Mus musculus: one gene and its partner. The protein of the gene in region 2 interacts with the protein of the main gene of each other region in a biochemical or structural test. Links are inferred from orthologs where the notes say so. Each region holds a gene or a part of one and is shown on either strand. Other genes may lie near its edges.

Region 1 (4,371 bases), on a different chromosome or scaffold from region 2:
TACTCTAGGGGAACTAAAGTCAGAAGAGATGAAAAGCAGACACAGTTCCTGTTGGGCCTCATAGTTGTCTCCCACTTTCCTCCTTGGGTCTAGTGTATCACTGCTCTTAGCCACATGCAGCTTTGCTTCCAAACTGCTGGTCTATCTGCCATGTGGAGGCTGATGCTATATCCAACATGAGGTAGAGAGACAGGGCCTGAACCAGCTTCCTGCATCCCTACAACTGTGGAAAGTCTGACTGGACCACCAGATTCATATGGGTCCTACTATCCGGTCAAATTTTAATAGATAACCCAGATAACTAGTTGCTGAAATTTGTACCCAGCAAGTATGTGTTTTTTTTTTCCCCAACAAGAACCAAGAACTGTCACATATACATCTTTGCACCCTACTTTGTCACTTCATATTTCTTGAAGATTTCACTTTGCATATGAATATACATAGACTTCCTTTGTTCATATCTTAGTTTCAAAGTATTCAGTCAAATGGCCAAGTAATAATTAACTAATGATTGAAACTGAGCAAACTCCTGTGTGTGTGTCTATTATATCAAATGGTGAGGATCTTGGCAGAAAGGTCTTGTTTTCCCCTATTCCTTAGGACCTACAAACCTTCTCTATTCCTTATATGCTAGAACATGTACTAGTGTTGTGGGGTATTCACCAGAAAAGACTACTCAGATATGGGTTTAAGCTAAGAAATGGCAGCTGGTTACTGCACTGGGTGTTCAATACCCCAGGACAACCTGAGTCTTTCTCAGGGTGAGCTTTTAAGCACACAAAAAAACATGTTCTGGGTTGACATACTTCAGTTAACAAGAACTGTCAGCCATAAACAGAACTACAGAAGCTAAAAAGCAAGGTTAGTACATTTTGAGACTTCCCCAGAAAGATATGGACTTTGATGGATTAGGCCTTTGTTTTAGTTTTGGTGGGCGTGACACTAAAATCAGCCTCATGTCTCTTCAGTTCAGCAACTCCTTAGCTCTCTTTCCATTTTCCTGAACCATCTGCCCTGCACAGGTAGCTCCTATTTCATCACTGGGTCTCCAACACTGGGGACACTGTAACTGATCATTTCCATCCACATTAGAGATTGTACCCAGTGGACTCAGAAGACCCTAGACTATACCCTGCCTGATACATGGCTGACTGACTAGCGTGTTCCAGAGGGGGACACTCTGGAAAGACCAAGTGACTCTCCCTCCTTTAGCTCTGTTTATAGGAGCGGGGTGGGATGAGGGGGGGGGACACCACTGCATTATCAGTTCTTGGCCCAATATGGTGCGCTCCAGCTTCTGCACAGCCTTCAAAGATGGCAGCCCCCATCTAGAAACGGCCATATTTAAGCCCCAGATGCCAGGCTAGGGCCTGACGCGACCGGAACGTGACGCAAGGTGGAGGTGGGGCTCCTCCCTCCAACCCTGGCGTCGGGCGTCTCGTGACAGACACTTCCGCTCGGGGCGGCGGCGGTGGCGGAAGTGGAAGCAAGGCCGGAGCTTTGACCATAAAGCCCAAGGCGGCGGCGTTGGCGGCGGTGTTTGGGGCCGGGCAGCTCCGAGGAGCCTGCTGGAGCCGGAATCGGACGTCTCTGTTGCGGCCTGCGTTGTGTCTCCTCCTCCGTTGACCCTGCGGTGAGCAGCGGGCCCCGGCCGCCCTTCCCCCGCCGCCGCTTGGGCCTCCGGGCCTGGCGTCCTCGGCGAGCCGAGCGCCGAGCTGGGCCGGGCCAGGCGGGGCGGCGCCCGGCGGGCGGAGGGCGATCGGCGATCGGTGGGTGGCGGGTACGGGATCCTCGGGCTGGGCGCGTCCCCACCGGCAACCTGCTGGGTGGGAAGAGCTACCGGCCGGCCGGCCACCGAGGCAGTGCTGCCAGGCGCGTCACATGCCCCGGCCCGCCGCCGGCACTGGGAGACAGGAGCTTTCAGGGTCCTGCAGGGTAAATCCCGTTTCCGAAGTTCCGGGAAGAAGGACCTCCCGAGTGCCTTTCAAATGGCCTGATGTCCTCCTGGCTCATAATCGTGCCGATGTTGAGAGTAAGGTTGTGAAGATTTGAGATTTCTCGGCTGCTGGGCTGCGTGGCAAGACCGCACAAATTGCCCTGTTCTCCCAACAGCCCCTCCGAAGCACCGAGGCAGTGCCTACTTACAGAGAAAGCGAAGAACAGAGAGGCTAAGGCACTCGACCAAGGTCACACCGCTGATAAATTTCAGAGTGAGAGGTTGAAACATAGGCAGCTAGACTACTTAGCACTTACTGGCCTCTGGCCTCTTGTACTTTAGATGCCCCCAAAGCCTGCCACCTGTTATCTGCCATCAGCACCCCCCTCCACCTCCTGTCTAGTGATGTCATTTGAGAGCCTCTTAGTCCTACCTTAAAGCCATGTTGTATTTGTACTTGTGACTTACAAGGCATATTACAAGGCATATAAGGTAGTGTAGTGTCATCAAACCAGAAGATCTTGAATTCTGGCAAGGTATGTATTGGATTTGAATAGGTTTCTTAGCCAGCTCTTTTCCTTGAGTCAGGTCTGGCATGCCTACTGTGTGCACCTTTCTACAAGAATTTCTACAACAACCTAACCTGTTGACTCTTCACCGTTGAAAATCTTGTGTTTTTGGTTTTCCAAAGAATAAACTCTTGTCTCTTTCTTGTGACTTCAGCAACTGATACCCACATGATTGAGTTAATAAAATCTCTTGTTGGCATATTTCTCTTCGATCTTGGTAATATTGGATCAGAATTGAGTGTAAGAACTGGAAAGTGAATTATAACTACTTCTGAAGCTGGCCAGACTAAAGTTTGGTGTCCTTGGTTGTCAATAGTTTAGTTTGCTACCCGGCCTGGTATACTTACGGGCTGTAAACCTATGTAATGAGTTTAGAAGAGGAATCGCTAAACGTGATTCCCTTTTTGTTGTATGATATTTTTGTCCTCCCTCGAGGGGAATTAGATGCCACTTCGTCCAGTGCACTGTCATGTGTGAGCAGAGGCTGGAGAAGACAAGTGGCTGGCACCTTCATTTGGGAGATGTTTTTCTTCCACATGTGTGTCAGGCATTACTGGGTCCTGACTCAGGGAAGAAGGCATGGCTGGGTTGTGTCCTCAGAGAATTGTAAAATGATGAGTCTCAGAGCCAGGAGCTGTTTAGGAAGGAATGACTCGGATGTAGAAAGAATCGGAGGCTTCTGCAAAAAGTAGTTTTTATTTTATTTTATTCCCTCAGGTGAATCAGATATCCAGATGTGTATTGTTCTGGCTAACTACTTGAAATATTTGCCAACTCTTTGTGTGTTGTGTATGCATGCACATGTGCATCTGTGTGGGCCTGAGGTGGGTATTGGGTGTCTTACTTTACTGCTCGCCTTTTTAATTTTTAATTATTTACTTTTTGAAGACAGGGTCTCTTCCCTGACCCTGGAGCCTATCCACTGCTAGCAGGCTAGCCAGTGAGTGCACGCATGCGCACACGTGCACACACGCATGCACACACGTGCACACACGCATGCACGTGCCCGAGGGTGTTGCAGATGCCTCTGAACCTACCCTTTTTCTTTTTCCTTCATTTTTGGGTTGTTTGTTTGTTTGTTTGTTTGTTTTTTTGGTTTTTCTAGACAGGGTTTCTCTGTGTAGTCCTGGCTGTCCTGGAACTCACTCTGTAGACCAGGCTGGCCTCGAACTCAGAAATCTGCCTGCCTCTCCTTTTCTTTTTCTTGATTTAAATGTGGGTCCTGGGATCTGTACTCAGGTCCTTACACTTGTCTGTCCGACAACTGAGCCAACCTCAGCCCCCATCTCTGTCAGCATTAGGTTTGCTCCTGTAAGAGAGGGCCATAGTCTGGTGATAGTCTGATCACCTCTTTTAAAGAGTAACCACCAGCACTAAACGTGATTCCCTTTTTGTTGTATGATATTTTTTGCCCTCTCTCAAAGGGAATTAGATGCCACTTCGTCCAGTGCACTGTCATGTGGGAGCAGAGGATGGGTTTTCCTTTTTAGCTGACAAGAAAGCTTACTGTCGCTCTGCTAGACTTAGTGATGCATGCTGGAGAAGCCCTGTGTCCTCTGCTTGCCATGGCTCTCTGGTTCCCTCCATTCAGGGGCCCAGGTTTTACACTGAAGGTAGAACCTCAGGAGTAAAGGAAGGAGGGTGGAACTGGCATGCGCTCTAAAAATAGCTTTATTAGTGAAGTCTTCCAGGTGACTGCTGACAACCACATGGTGACTTTCCTGGTTGCCTTCTTTTTTTTTTTTGGTGTCAGTTGTGGTTCATATTCAGAGATCCTAACCCTGTAAGAGCTGTCCTTGTACGAAAGGAGTTGTGAATCAGTTTCTGGCTCCACCACCAAATGAGGCAAGGAAGTTTGAGCATTGG
Region 2 (3,820 bases):
TGTGTGTGTGTGTGTGTGTGTGCGCGCGCGCGCACGTGCACGCACACATGTTCATGCACATGCATGTCAGTTACCATTTTTATTTGATTTGCTTTTGGTGTTATTCTCTAAAATACTTTCTGTCTACAGCTTCTCTATTCTCGGGGATTACTAATTGATCTTCTAATCAAATCAAATGTTAGTCGGTATGCAGAGTTTAAAAACATTACGAGGATTCTTGCATTTCGAGAAGGAACTGTGGAACAGGTACTGTGCTGCTCAACTCTCTGAGACAAGTTACTATTACTCATGTTGGAAGGATAAGCAACACTTACTATTTCCTAGTAAGGCTGAGTTTCAACTTTGCATGGTGGTTTATAAATCTAAATACAAAATGAGCCCCATTAAAACTTCTGTTTTGTTTTTGAACATTTATTCCTCAGGTTGATTTTAATGTTGAGGAAATGCTAGTTTCAGTCAGCAGTACCATATTTGAATTGTCATTTCTTTGCTATTAGGGGTGACGTGCCATTGCCCTTTTAAAGGCATGAAGAACAACTTGGCAGAATTAAGTAACAGAGCTCTCAAGTTAATTATCTCTGTAGTTAAGAGAGATGCTATTAGAAGTGATGAAAGGTGACATGAAGCAGCGAGAATGGAATGGAAATGATAACCTTGTAATGAGGAAAGGACTAAAACGTGGAATCCTGGAATACTTGTGTCAATAGGAAGTACTTTGAAACCTTCACTTTCAAATGCCTTTCAGGTCCCCTGTTCCAGAGCAGATGTCTTCAATAGCAAACAACTTACTATGGTAGAAAAGCGAATGCTTATGAAATTTCTTACATTTTGTGTGGAATATGAAGACCATCCCGATGAGTACAAAGGTATTGCTTTCCATTAACTTGTATTTTCTGATTATTAGAGATTGTAATTTTAATATGCTTCCTCAGGTTGGAAAACAACTGATTATTCTAAAATGCATTTTAACTCCTAGATCTAGTAAGCTATAGAAGCAGGCTATTTGAATTCATTTAAATGAAATACTGAAGAAATTTGTTCCTCAGTCATGCTAGACATATTTCAAGTACTTAGTACCTCTATGTAGGTAGTAGCTATAATGCAAATATTTTCAACATTGCAAGAATGTCATGCCATCTCCCCTTTATAATTTTTTAAAAATTAAATACTGTTAACTGATTATTTAATCATTATATGTATGGCACTAGTAATTGAAGTGAAGACTTGGCTCATGATATAGTATATTACTTGATTCTTGATATGACATGCCTTTTTTGTTATTTAACCTTTAATATGTTGTTGTTTTGTTACTACTACTACTACTATTACTACTACTATAGTAATAACTTGCTAGATGTCATTTTTCTAGACTGCTTTTACTTGGAAAATTGAGCTATTCATTTGATTGACATAAGTGCTGTGTCATGTATAGGGAAACCTCCAGATCTAGAGAAGCTGAGGTTTGTCTTCTTACTGTATTCTTAAGGCCAGCCATTTTAGCTTGTTCAAAATTGATTTCATTATTTTATTGTCAGCTATTTTCTAAGTACATTGGGATGGAAATATTGTGCAAACTTAAAGTACTTTGTTGATAATATATAAAATTACATTGAGAATTACATCATGATTTGTTTTGATGGAATTATGAGATTCTAATTCTTGCTATTATAGCTTTAAGGCAGTGAATACCAGCTTTTTCTTTGCAGTACCTGGACTTAGAGACTCTCAGGAAGTTCGTTTCTATCATTTAATATTTCCATAAAGGCCTGTTTTCTGGCACAGGACTGGGTCCTCCCACTAGTTTTACTTGTTCTCTCTTACTAACAGAAAGGATTAATTAGTTTGATAGGTCTTCCTTATTATTTGATGTGTGATTGTCAGTATGTTAGATTCTAGCAGCCACAGACATATTAGTTTCATTAATTTAGTAAAACTTTTTATCCTACGTTTGATGAACGAAAGTATGATGCAAAATGTAACAAAAGTGACATTTTTATTAATGTATTTTATCACTTCATTCCATTTTATCTTTAATATTTTTAGATATAAATGTTGACATTACTGTATAGTTTAAATGCTAATGAATTGAGGTTATTGGCATCCACAGAAACACATTGAGTTATTTAATACCTCCGTGGATTTTCACATCAATAAATTACTAAATAAAGATTCATTGTTTAAAGCTTTAAAAACTATTATTGATTCATTTAGGATAGTGGAGTTATTTCATATTTTGTCCTTAAGACCAATAAATAGTTCATTTCCAAACTGTAGTAATAAGGACAACTTGTGTCCTGTTTGAAATCTTTAACAGGCCTGGCTCTAGTAATGTAGGGTGCTTTTAAATAGATATTAAACTTGATTTTAATCGATAAATTTTCATCTTTTCATAGCATACGAGGAAACTACATTTTCTGAATACTTAAAAACTCAAAAATTAACCCCCAACCTACAATATTTTGTCCTGCACTCAATTGCAATGACATCAGAGACAACAAGCAGTACTGTAGATGGTCTCAAAGCTACTAAAAAGTTTCTTCAGTGTCTTGGGCGGTATGGCAACACTCCATTTCTGTTTCCTTTATATGGCCAAGGAGAACTTCCACAGTGTTTTTGCAGGTAAGTTATGATTTATATCTTCTAAAAGAGTTGTATGGAAAACATAACATGAAAATAAGACAGAAGGGAGCTGGGTAATGTATCCCTGTAATCCTACCATGTGGTGTGAAGACCGCTCTTGGCTACATAGCATGTTGAGGCTAGGCTGAGTTATTGACGCTCCTATCTTAAAATAAGTCCGGTGAAGAGTGAGTATATGCACACATAGTTCATTTTATTTTTTGTAAGTGATTTAATGTTTACTTCTCCATCTAAGTGGTATATCCAATTTAGCCTGATTTTGAACCTAAAATATTATATATTACTGTGTGTGTATGTATATGTATATATGTTCTGTTTCCTCTAATATTTAACTTTCACGTGGTTGATTAGTTCCTTGTGTTAGTTCTGTGGATTCATTTTAGCGTCATATTTTCTTTTGGAGTGCTTCCTTTGACCTGAGCACTCGGAATTTTAGATACTTTATATTGCTGGAATTACTTGGTTTTGTCAAGGTACTGCACACTTGAGGTGTTCGTATTTCCTTTCCAGTACCTTCACTTAGGTATAGACCCCAGTATATAGCTCCATAGTAATACTGGCACAAAACATTTGAACACATTATTGTTTTGTCCAAGTGCTTATTGCTTGAAGCTTTGATTTCAACCCTAGTCTTGTATGTGTTTGAGGGGTTCTTTCCTTCAGTATCAATGGAAGCATGTATTCTCACACTTATATCTCCTAAGTCCTTCAGTGTAAGAATGGAAGTAGCTAATTTCTGAATATTATAGGTCTCTTTCTTCCTTCTGAATAGGGAAAAAAGATAGAGATGAATGACAGAGTGTTGGATCCTTAAGACCATAGTTCGTCGCATCAATTGAAATTACAGAGGGACTTGAGATCCTCCTAAGTCTGCCTCTTTAGCATATCCTACTGGCGTGTGCCACCCTGATTATATTTAGGAATATATATATGTATATACAAACACTTATATGCATTCCGTAACAGTTAGTAAAAAAAAAAAAAAAATTAAGGCCATGAATTTGAAGGAGAATGAGAAGAGGTGCATAGGAGGGCTTGGACGGAGGAAAAGGAAAGGAGAAACATATTAAATATAATCTCAAAAATAAAAAAAAATAAAGGTTAAAAAATAGGGAAATTCTTCCAAAAATCATAATTCAACACCATTCAGACCTCTAAACAGTTAACAATAATTTCTATC

The links.
Region 1: the proteins of Chm (region 2) and Rab7 are reported together in a solved structure, tested with the Homo sapiens proteins (2 studies listed by BioGRID, with this or other methods). The link is inferred for Mus musculus from reciprocal best matches to the Homo sapiens genes CHM and RAB7A.

What each region holds. Positions count from the first base shown.
Region 1 is NC_000072.6:88,042,335-88,046,705, reverse strand, and holds the start of Rab7 (ras-related protein Rab-7a), read left to right. Parts: upstream 1-1,435; 5' UTR 1,436-1,633; intron 1,634-1,688; exon of another isoform or gene 1,689-1,769; intron 1,770-4,371.
Region 2 is NC_000086.7:113,108,975-113,112,794, reverse strand, and holds part of Chm (rab proteins geranylgeranyltransferase component A 1), read left to right. Parts: intron 1-129; coding exon 130-246; intron 247-745; coding exon 746-866; intron 867-2,393; coding exon 2,394-2,619; intron 2,620-3,820. UniProt on the Homo sapiens protein: Substrate-binding subunit of the Rab geranylgeranyltransferase (GGTase) complex.